Callithrix jacchus: one gene and its partners. The protein of the gene in region 3 interacts with the protein of the main gene of each other region in a biochemical or structural test. Links are inferred from orthologs where the notes say so. Each region holds a gene or a part of one and is shown on either strand. Other genes may lie near its edges. The genes, in order: THBS1, SERPINF2 and PLG.

Region 1 (4,239 bases), on a different chromosome or scaffold from region 3:
ATTTCATTTGGGGTGAAGGATGAAGGTAGAGGGGTTGTATGTGGGCATGTGTGTGTACGTGTGTGCACAGTACCCCTTGAGGTCTCTTTTGTATGCTTAATGATCTTACTGGGGGTAACTGACATATAACCACTATTGCTAAATTCCTCCCCTTGTTTTTAGTGGAATTCCCCCATCTCCCTATGAGCCCTAAGGATAAAGGAGTACTCACAGCTGGAGCAGCCTTTGTTCCGGAGGATGTCTTCTGGTGTGGTTCCAAAGACAAACCTCACGTTCTGCAGCACCCCCTGTGGACAGAGGACACACATTACATGTAGAATGCTGAGAGGATGTGGGATGGGTTTGGGGGAGACTGTCTTTGTGCTAGGAAAAGCACACAACAGATATTCTAAAAGCTTCAGAGAGCTTTTTTAAGATCACTGTGTCAAAACAACACACCAACATAAATTGCCAAAAAACTTCAACATCTTAATTGCGACTTCTGCCAAGTCTTGAGTATTTTATAAAGAATTCAGTTATCAGTCTACTTGGGTACACAGGAAATGGAATCTGATCTTAAGCCCAGAGGATATAATGACACGTCCCAGTGTCAAAGAGTTAAATATGGGAGATCAAAGCCACAGTTGCAAAGATCTAGAAGTTAAGGCACAGAAGAAGCTGTAACAGCAACAGCTCACTGCTATTTTAACCTTTTGTGTGAGACTGGCTGCATCCCCATGAGAACTCCGATAGCAAAGTGGTACTGATTCTGCCCATAGAAAGTATCAATTTCAAACGATTAAAATTGGGGGAATGCATATGAAATAAGCGATTTTCTTAAGAGCTTAAGGAGTATCTAACGTTTGAACAGGCTGACTGCTGAAGGAAAACCATTTCTTGTTTCCTTGAGTCGTTTTAAAAGTGTGCTTCCCAGACCACCAGCATCAGCATCACCTGGTACTTGTAATTGAGTTGCAGTTTTACAGAATCCCAAACTCTGGGACTGGAGTGCAGCAGTGTGAGCTTTCACAAGCCCTCCAGGTGATGCTCATGCTGCCTAAAATCTGAGAACTGCTGCTTTAGTTTACATTCAGGATTTCCTGTAGCCCTCCTGGCAGGTCACCTGTCTAGCAGATGATCCCATGTAGCAGGGCTCAGAGAAGAAGCCTCACCTGGAAATTGTCATTGACGCCCCCCTTTGCGATGCGGAGTCTGGCGATGCTGGCCAGGTCTCTGGTGAAGACGCTTTGGATGGGGACGTCTAGCTCAGCGTTCTCCATCTTCTCACAGTCGATGTACAGCTGGGCCCTGTCTTCCTGCACAAACAGGGTGATGCTCTTCCACTGGCCGGTTGCCAGGAGAGCTTCTTCCACAGACACCACATGCTGCTTTCCTTGAACCGTCAGGCTGAGGTCCAGAGTGCCCGCCTTGCCATTGGAGACCACGCTGAAGACCTGGCCAGAGTGGTCTTTCCGCTCCAGGGCCAGCAGCGTGCCCCGGGTCTTCTTCATCTGCCTCAGGGAGGCCAGAAGGAGGAAACCCTTCTCTGCCCGCACAGCGTCCACCAGGTCTTGGAGCTTGTCATCAGGCACAGGGGGGATCAGGTTGGCATCCTCAATGCGGAAAGCTGGGCTGGAAGGGTCAGGGCCCTTCACCAGTCGGCGCCCAGATCCCTTGCGGGCAGCCCCGGTGAGTTCGAAGATGTCAAACACGCTGTTGTCTCCCCCAGACTCTGTTAGACAGGAGAGAACATATAGTGAGATTTCTAGGCTGGGACCAGCAGTAGGGGGCTGAGTCCTTAGGGGTGGGGAGCAAGGGCTGGGGTGGAAACTCCTGGCAACCACTGAAAGAGCTGAATAAAGACCAGGATCAGAGGGAAGCTGCCTCCTGATGTCCAGTCTGGCTCAAGAGAAAAGGAGCTGGGAGAGAACAGCATGTCAGGGGGCACACCTGGGGTAGCCAGCACCTCATCCTCATCCCTCCTTCCCGTAAAGGTGCCACACAAACTCACCTGGAATGCGGTTGGTACCACACACTTGCAACAGGAACAGGAGGCCTAGTCCCCAGGCCAGCCCCATGGTGGAGCTGTTGGTGCCCAGCAGGGATCCTGTAGCAGGAACGATCCTGCAGCACAAGAGCCCAGGGTCAGAGATCAGCTAGGCAGGGAGGGTGGGCAGAAAAAGAAACTGGGCTGGGCATGGGGCCGGGGCCATCCCTCTTTGCTGAATGAAGGACAACAGGATTACTTGAGAGAGAGAGAGAGAGAGAGGAGAGAGAGAGAGAGAGAGAGAGAGAGAGAGAGAGAGAGAGTGTGAGAGTGAGTAGTGGAGGAAAGAGATGCTGGTTTTAAAGTGTGGGGGCGCAAGACCAACAATTTGGGGGCTTCTGGGAAGTCGAAGGTGAACCAGATCAGGAGCCGTAGTGGTTGCAGAGAGGGCACGGGAAAGTACAGACTGTTAACTGGACTGCCAATACAAAGGTTTAAGGAAGACCAGTAAGGAAATCTTGGTGTGTCCTGATGAGGTGGTCTGTGAACCCCAAGGCTGGAGAGGATGGCTCTGGAGCTTTGTCCTGAAAAGTCCCCCAGCGGGCGGGAGGGGCGGGCTGGGGCAGGTGAGCGGGGAAGAATGTGGGATCCGGGGTCCACCAAAGGGACCGAAGCCTCAGCGTTCCAGGTAGGTGGCCCGGGCAGCCTTGGTCCTCGGCGGAGGCGTCTTACCTGTGTGGACCGGAGCGCGGCGGCCAGGAGCGGGGACGAGGGCGGCGAGGGCTGCAGAGGCGGGGTGTCGCCGGTGCGTCCGGAGTGGAGGTAGCGCCGGGAGAGCTGCAGAAGCCCTGAACTCGCAGGCCGGCTCGGGCGCAGTGGCTGGCAAGGCGGAGGAGCCGCGCGCTTTTAAAGGAGTTCTGGCATTCCTGGGGATTCCTCTGGCCAATGGGCGGCGGCCGGGCAGGAAGCGGGAGGGGGCCAGTCTGGGCTCCTCTCCGCCCCCCGCTGCTGGCGCGCAGCTTTCCAGCTAGAAAGTGAAGGGGGCGGGGGTCGGGGCTTGGTAGCACTGGCACTTCTCAGAAAAGTCGGTGCCCGCCCACGCAGCCTTGGCGCTCACGGGCTCGGCGCTCGCGCTCTTGCGCCACGCGGGCCCGGGGCGGTCAGCGAGCATCCCGAGCAGGGACTGGGCTGCGGCGACCACCCAGGGCCCGCGGGGTGGGGCGGGGGCTTTCGGGCGAGCTTGTCTCCCGGACTGCCTGGGCGAGGGCTGAGAGGGGTACATGGGACAGGGGGCCCGTTTTGTGACCAGAAAAATGGGCCGACGGGGCGCAGGGGACCCCGAAAGAGCCATTCATTCAAGCAGCGGCCCCTTGGGCCCTCGCTGACCCTCCTCCACCGTCCCGGTGGGGTGAGGACCACGCGTGCCCCGATCCCCCGTCCCGGGCTGGCCGCACGCCCGCCCTGGCGGGAGGTGAGCTCGGCGTCGGCCGGGCGGGCAGGGCGGTGCGCGGCGCTCGCCTTCGGAAGCTTTCCTGCCGCGGCCACCCGGGGCCCACGGAGGCGCCTCTCCCGCTGCCGCTGCGCTCCCTCGGCCGGCCGCTTGGGGGCGGTATGCGTGTTCTCATCAAGGGGCCCGGGGAGGACAGCGGCTCTTTACTCGAATTTTAAGGAAACTTACTCGTATCCAGTTTCCTCAAGCCAAATTGAAATTGTGTCTTGGAAAACAGTTTTTGTGCCCACTCGTGCTTCTTAACGTGACTCCTGTTTGGAGAATTTGCAGAACCATCTGGCTCCAGAGTCTTCAACTATTTACAGAACAGACCCATAGAGTAATAAATTACCCTCTGCTTATTATTGTATTTCCCTTTTTCCTCCCTAAACGTTCTTTTCATTTTTCGGCTCCTGAAATCGAGGTGTGAGTTACGTTTCTGTGGGTGCACACATTGCCATGAGTGCCGCTGCCTAGTGCTTCTGTCATTGAAGTCTGGTCTCCAAGCCACTGTCCCAAGCCAGCATGACTCCAGCTGCCTGGAATTCCATTCATCTCTTCGGGATGGGACGTCAGCAGCCTCGCTCCCTCTGCTTTGGTCCAGGCTATCTGGCTGGCTCCGAGGCCAGGGCATAGGTAGAAGCTTGACCAAATAAGGATCGCAGCACAGGCAGGGGGAAACCCCTGGGGCTCATTTCCCATCTTAGTGCTTAAATCTGGCAGGACTCCTGACTGCTGGAAACAGCCACGGGTTTACGTTCATCAAACAGCAATTTCGCTTTTC
Region 2 (3,649 bases), on a different chromosome or scaffold from region 3:
CGGCTCAGGCCTGTAATATCCCAGCACTGGGAGGCCAACACGAGATCCCTTGAGGTCAGGAGTTCGAGACCAGCCTGGCCAACATGGTGAAACCCCATCTGTACTTTTAAAAATACAAAAATTAGCCAGGCGTGGTGGTGCTGTAGTCCCTGCTACTCAGGAGGCTGAGGCAGGAGAATCGCTTGAACCTGGGAGGTAGAGGTTGTAGTGAGCTGAGATCACACCACTGTACTCCAGCCTGGGGGATAGAGCGAGACTCAGTCTCAAAAAAAAAAAAAAAGTGTATAGAATCAGAATGTTCCACACAGGATGAAGGAAATCCAGTCCAATTAGATCCTCCCTTCTAAGGACACTGTGTGAGGGCCTTGTATGAACCCTCATCAACGATGGTCACCTGAGTCTCAGTTCAGTGCCCCTCCTCAAAGAATCCTCCCTGACCACTCTAAACTACCTAAATAAGGCGAGATGTGGTGGTTGTAACGTGCAATCCCAAAACTTAGGGAGGCTGAGGTGCTCGGATCACCTGAGGTCAGGAGTTTGAGGCCAGCTTTTTTTTTTTTTTTGAGACGGAATCTCGCTCTGTTGCCAGGCGCACAATCTCAGCTCACTGCAGCCTCTGCCTCCTGGGTTCAAACAATTATCCTGCCTCAACCTCCTGAGTAGCTGAGACTACAGGCACCCTCCACCACGCTCAGCTCAGTTTTGTATTTTTAGTAGAGATGGGGTTTCACCATGGTGGTCAGGCTGGTGTCAAACTCCTGACCTCATTATCACCCAGGCTAGAGTGCAGGCACAATCTCGGCTCACTGCAATATCTGCTGCCCAGGTTCAAGCGAGTAGCTGAGATTATGGGTGCTCGCCACCACGCCTGGCTAATTTTTGTATTTTTAGTAGAGACGAGGTTTCGTGTCTTGGCCAGGCTGGTCTTGAACTCCTGACCTTATGATTCACCTGCCTCGGCCTCCCAAAGTGCTGGGATTATAGGCATGAGCCATCGCTCCGGGCCAAAATCACCTTCTCTTTCAGCTTTCCCTCCATAGTGCTTCCACTGTCTGGAATTCCTGTGTTGATGGACGTTTACTGTTGCCCTGTGGATCTTGCCTCCCAAGAGCAGAGGCCCGGCCTCCCTCATGCTCCACAAAAACCCTAGTGCTTACAACAGTGTCTAAGCACACAGCAAATGTCCCCTATATTTTCATTGAATTAATGAACCTCAAAGAGCCTGGAGCCTCAGTCCTCCTGCCAGGTAGGAAGAGGGATGTGGAACCTTTTGGAACTGCCTGCCCCTGAGAAGTGGCAGCAAGGAAAGCGAAACACCCACCACCCAGCCCTGTGTAGGCTCCACAGACTGTCCCCTCCACTCCCAGCCTCCCAGCACTCAGGCCCAGCCTGCTGGGGACAACCTGGATCTCAGGCTGCTCCAGTGAGAACCAATGCAGCGGGTACGTGGGGGCATGCATCATCTCCACGGGCACCGTGAACTGCTCATCCAGGTGGAAGAAGCCTCTCTTGGTGAGGCTCGGGTCAAACTTGTTCCTCCAGAAACCTGCAACCAGGCAGAGGCAGGGGTCATGGAGATGGGGCCCAGCCCCTTGCCCATCCCACCCAGCACCCATTCAAGAGGTGGAGAGCGGTAGAGGCCAAGACCCCAGGGAATGTCGGTGGCATCCAGTGGATTGAGGTCTCTTTCCTGCGGGGTTTTGAAATCTGGGTTCATGCTTCCCCGCTACCCCAGCAATGCCCCCAGGAATCTCCCCTGGGTCTTTACAGACCATCTGTTCCCAGGTACTCCCTCTAGGACAACCTCATCTGGCTCCTGGGCATCCGCCCCCACCACACCCAGATGCCCCCTGCCTCATGGCCCAGACAGAGGAGAAAGGGGACCCTCAGAACAAAGCCTGTATGGCCGGGGGCTGTGGCTTACGCCTGTTATCCCAGCACTTTGGGAGGCTGAGGTGGGCAGATCACCTGAGGTCAGGAGTTCAAGACCAACCTGGCCAACATGGTGAAACCCTGTCTCTACTAAAAATTAGCCAGGTATGGTGGCACATGCCTGTAATCCCAGCTAATTAGGAGAATAGCTTGAACCCAGGAGGCAAAGGCTGCTGTGAGCTGAGATTGTGCCATTGCACTCCAGCTTGGGTGACAGAGCAAGAATCAGTCAAAAAAGCGGGGGCTGGGCACGGGGGCTCACACCTGTAATCCCAGCACTTTGGGAAGCCAAGGCGGGTGGATCACCTGAGGTCAGGAGTTTGAGACCCTCCTGGCCAACATGGTGAATCTCCATCTCTACTAAAAATACAAAAAAATGAGCTGGGCATGCTGGCAGGGCCTGTAATCTCAGTTACTCGGAGGCTGAGGCAGGAGAATCGGTTGAACCCAGGAGGCGGAGGTTGCAGTGAACTGAGATCGCACCATTGCACTCCTGGCCTGGGGAACAAGAGTGAGGCTTGTCTCAAAAAGAAAAAAAAGCTTGCACATCCCAGCTCGGCCTATGGCATGGGTGATGCCAGGTGGGGGATGTATGAGGAGGAGGAGCGCACCCTGAAAGTGGATGGCATTGAGGAGAAGCAACACCGTGTCTTCTGGTAGCTGGGAGAGGAACTCCGGAATTTTCCCCTCCGTGGCCTCCTTCACCCACTGGTTGATGTTTGCCAGGTCATCCTCCTGCTTTCCCGTCAGGCTCACAGGCTTTGCACCAAATATCTGTTCTGATTGTTCCAGGAACTCTTCTTTGATGGGAAATCCTGCACACAGGGAGCACAGGCTGTCCCTGGGACTCAGGCTCCACGGTCAGCCATGCTCCTACCCGCTGCCGGAGGCCCAGCCCCTGTCTCTCACCCTCCTTCACCCCAGGTCAGGATGGAGGGTCCCCGGCCTCAGCACCCACCTTTCTGCAGGTACATCCTGGCGGCCAGTCGGAAGGTGCCGGTGCCCAGGCCCTGGCAGAGGCGGCTCAGCTGATGGGGAAGGCAGGGCCCAGGGCCGGCATGCAGCACCTGGTGCAGCCTCTGCAGCGTGTGGTTCTGAGCACCTGGAGGGCAGTGCACCGGCTGAGGCCTGCTGGGGCCCTTTCTCACCCCCACTGCCTGCTCCAGTCCCTCCTGGATACCTGTGATGAGCATGCCCACAGGACCGCACAGTGCCCTCCCACAGCCACGGTTCTGCTCTGCATGACTGAGTCTTTCCCCCGTGGCTGACAGCCTGGGTGACCTCACGTCTCTCAAGTGACCTTCCCTCTCTGGGCTTCCGTTTCCCAGAGCAAAACCCTCCAGCACAATGGGAGAGAGTACAGCTATCAAACTGTCACGTAAAAATCACCAGGAGAGGCCAGGCACAGTGGCTCATGTCTATAATCCCTTCAGGAGGCCGAGGCAGGTGGATCACCTGAGGTCAGGAGTTTGAGACCAGCCTGGCCAACAGGGTGAAACCCTGTCTCTACTAAAAATACAAAAATTAGCCTGGTGTGGTGGCAGATGCCTATAATCCCGGCTACTCTGGAGGCTGAGGCAGGAGAATCACTTGAACCCAGGAGGCGGAGTTTGTGGTGAGCCAAGATTGCACCATAGCACTCCAGCATGGGCGACAGAGCGAGACTCTGCTCAGACAAACTAACAAACAAATCACCTGGAAGACTTGTAAATAAGCA
Region 3 (2,903 bases):
CCACAGGTCATTCTCCTGTGACAGTGAGCGGCAGACTGGTTAAAAACCGGGCAGGAAATGAGCGATGGGAAATAAGGGGTCCACCTTCAGTATTAGCTTGCTGTCCATTCACATGCTCCTGGCACCCGTCCTAGACTCACACGTGCTCCAGAATAACATTCAGACTCTCAGCTGCTCTTGTGTTATACACTCATGGCCCAGTTCACTCCCTGATATACCCCTCTCTGCTCTGGGTCCCCTCTGGGCTCAAGTCGACAGTCAGCAACAGATTTCATTCCCAATGACAGAACCGGCTCTCAGGGCTCTCCGTACATGTTGCAGCTTTGAAAACGTTCGTCTCAGTGTTAGGAATAAAGACAGTGGAAATGTGCGTCAAGCCCTCGTTAGCCGATGAGGCAAATGCGTGGACGACTTCCAAGGAATACTCGGCTCTCCCCTCTGTGACCTCAGCCTTCTCCGTCCTTTGCCCGGCTGTTTCTTATCAAACACAGTCAACCCCCTCAGTCTGCCCATTTAAAATTGGTGGGGTGAACCAAGAACGTGAAAATGTTGAAGACAAAAGCCAAAATGTACTCAAATCAACGTTAAGTACAGAGTTTATTTTTAGCAAATGTCATAGCTATGTCATCTTATTACAGAAACCAGCAGTCAGACAATGATACAAAAAGTGCTGAGGTCTGGCGTAGCTGGTAGCTGGGGACAGTGTCTTCATTTGGTTACTGTCAGTTATTTCCAGCATGCTGAATCCCTGCCCACGTTCCAGCCTCTAGGTGAGTCGATGCTTCACTCTGTCTCCCGTCCAGTTAATTATTTCTCATCACTCCTTCAATCCAAGTAACATACCTTGAAACACGAACATAGACGCCAGGCTTATTGGGGCGTGCACAGCCAAGACCCCAAGAAGTGACTCCTTGTAAAATGTATTTGTCCTTCTCGAAGCAAACCAGAGGCCCTCCACTGTCACCCTATACAGAGGGAGAGAAAAATCCATGTGAGGGCAATGCTGCCAGCCTTTTAATAGGGGATACCACCCTTCTCTTATCCATACGTACATTTTCCCAGTAATTGAAATCAGAAAGGCACTTATGAGCATATTACTTGAGCATCTGCAGTGCTTAAGTACTTGGCAAAGTGTATTCAGCAAAACCACACCACTTAGTTTTTCCTGGGGAAAAACAAATCCCTGTGAATCCTGTGCGATCCCTTCCTATGTTGGGGTTTCCTTTAGACTGGGCTAGCCTGGGCATCCTTGTAAAGTGTGTGCAGTTGGTCTCTGTCCTGTGCCCTCTACCTCCTTCCCTGCTGGAAAAGTCACCACTTTAGTCCCTAGCCACTAGCACACCCCAGGAGGGCGAATGGCTTGAGGTAGTTACAGACCTTATAACTCCCTTGCTACCCATCTGGAACCCGAGCCCCAAGACCTCCCCTTAGATGATCTGAATATGTGTTCAGGCACAGATCTAGGGAGTTTCTGAGCAACACTTAGACTGGGGTCTTTAGTTGACAAATCCTTCTTGAATTTGCCACCTGGGGACTGAAGCCTAGGGGGCTGAGACTGAGACAGGAGGACACAAGACTAAGCTTGGTCTCTTGATCTTTTCGTACCTGGCAACTGTCAGTGCCTCCTGCCAGATGCCCAGCACAGAGCTCGGTGGATTTGACTCTTCCATTCAGAAGCTCGTAGCGATTGCACACTTTATTCTCAATCACGGGGAGCTGGGCTTCCTTGAGAACGCCAACCCCAAAGGTACCTGTGTTTAAAAAGATGAAAGAAATGGTTACCGCTCCCAAAACATGATCAGGAGGAAGTTCCAGAAGATCAGAGCGGCAGTGCTGGGCCTCCTGTCTGTCCAGGAAGCTGCGGAACACAAGGCAGCTCCCAGTGCCGTGGGACCCTCTGACCCTGCAGAGTGTAAACGTCATACACGTCTCTATGTTCCCGAGGCCTGGATTTAACAATCTGGGCTGTGTCATGGTGCTTTGGGGTTGGTTGTTTACTTTTTGCTTTTAAAATTATAAATAATAATGTTTACAATGTAGAGTCTGGAGAATGTAGTTGCTATTGTTGTATATACTATTTTTTCAGACTTTTTATATGCTTCTTTTACTTATTACATAATATTGCAAAATTTCATCTCGATTTTTTTCCCAATGTTGCATCATGAGTTTTTTTTTATAATGCTACAATCTTCATAACTAACATGTTAATGGGGAGCTACTGCTGAATGGTCATGAGGTTTCCTTTGGGGATTAGGAGAATGTTCTGGAAATACGGTGATGGTTGCACAACGTTGTGAATGTACTAAATGCCACTCAGTGGAACCTTCCAAAATGGTTAAAATAGTAAACCTCATGTTTTGTATATTTTATTGCAATAAAAAAGAATAGTCATCATTTACCAAGAATTAACCTTTACGGGCGCAAACTTATAATGTGGTGCATCTCACTTAATCCTCACAACAGTCCTATGAAACAGGGGCTTTTGTCATTCCTTTTCTACAGTTAAGGAAACTGAGGCTCAAAGACGTTGTGTAGTTGAGCTTGAGCCTGGGTCTGCAGAGTCACTGCCCAAATGCTCCCTCCTCGTGCATGTTGGCCCTACTCTTGCTTCCATGGTTCCACATCTTTGTTCATAAAGCTCACTCTTATTCCTTAATATTTTCTGAGCCTAAGTTCCCATAAATCATACAGGCATATTTCTGTCTTACAGTAACACTGCCAAATTATTCTTTAAAAGGGTGTGACAATGTACCATAATCACTAGAAAATAATCGCTTCACCTCACTTGTATGAGTGTTTAAGTTTTAAAATATTAGCTGATCTAATAGGTTGAATTGTCCCGATTCATTTTCCAATTTACACTTCTTTGACAATTAGGGAGAGTGAACATTCTCCTAGTTGTA

The links.
Region 1: the proteins of PLG (region 3) and THBS1 form a complex in vitro, tested with the Homo sapiens proteins (2 studies listed by BioGRID). The link is inferred for Callithrix jacchus from reciprocal best matches to the Homo sapiens genes PLG and THBS1.
Region 2: the proteins of PLG (region 3) and SERPINF2 form a complex in vitro, tested with the Homo sapiens proteins (2 studies listed by BioGRID, with this or other methods). The link is inferred for Callithrix jacchus from reciprocal best matches to the Homo sapiens genes PLG and SERPINF2.

What each region holds. Positions count from the first base shown.
Region 1 is NC_133509.1:47,076,253-47,080,491, forward strand, and holds the start of THBS1 (thrombospondin-1), read right to left. Parts: upstream 2,848-4,239; 5' UTR 2,699-2,847; intron 2,104-2,698; 5' UTR 2,058-2,103; coding exon 1,991-2,057; intron 1,712-1,990; coding exon 1,152-1,711; intron 288-1,151; coding exon 212-287; intron 1-211. UniProt on the Homo sapiens protein: Adhesive glycoprotein that mediates cell-to-cell and cell-to-matrix interactions.
Region 2 is NC_133506.1:66,495,422-66,499,070, forward strand, and holds part of SERPINF2 (alpha-2-antiplasmin), read right to left. Parts: intron 3,035-3,649; coding exon 2,891-3,034; intron 2,748-2,890; coding exon 2,544-2,747; intron 1,547-2,543; coding exon 1,404-1,546; intron 1-1,403.
Region 3 is NC_133505.1:167,360,788-167,363,690, reverse strand, and holds the end of PLG (plasminogen), read right to left. Parts: intron 1,752-2,903; coding exon 1,606-1,751; intron 966-1,605; coding exon 804-965; 3' UTR 581-803; downstream 1-580. UniProt on the Homo sapiens protein: Plasmin dissolves the fibrin of blood clots and acts as a proteolytic factor in a variety of other processes including embryonic development, tissue remodeling, tumor invasion, and inflammation. In ovulation, weakens the walls of the Graafian follicle.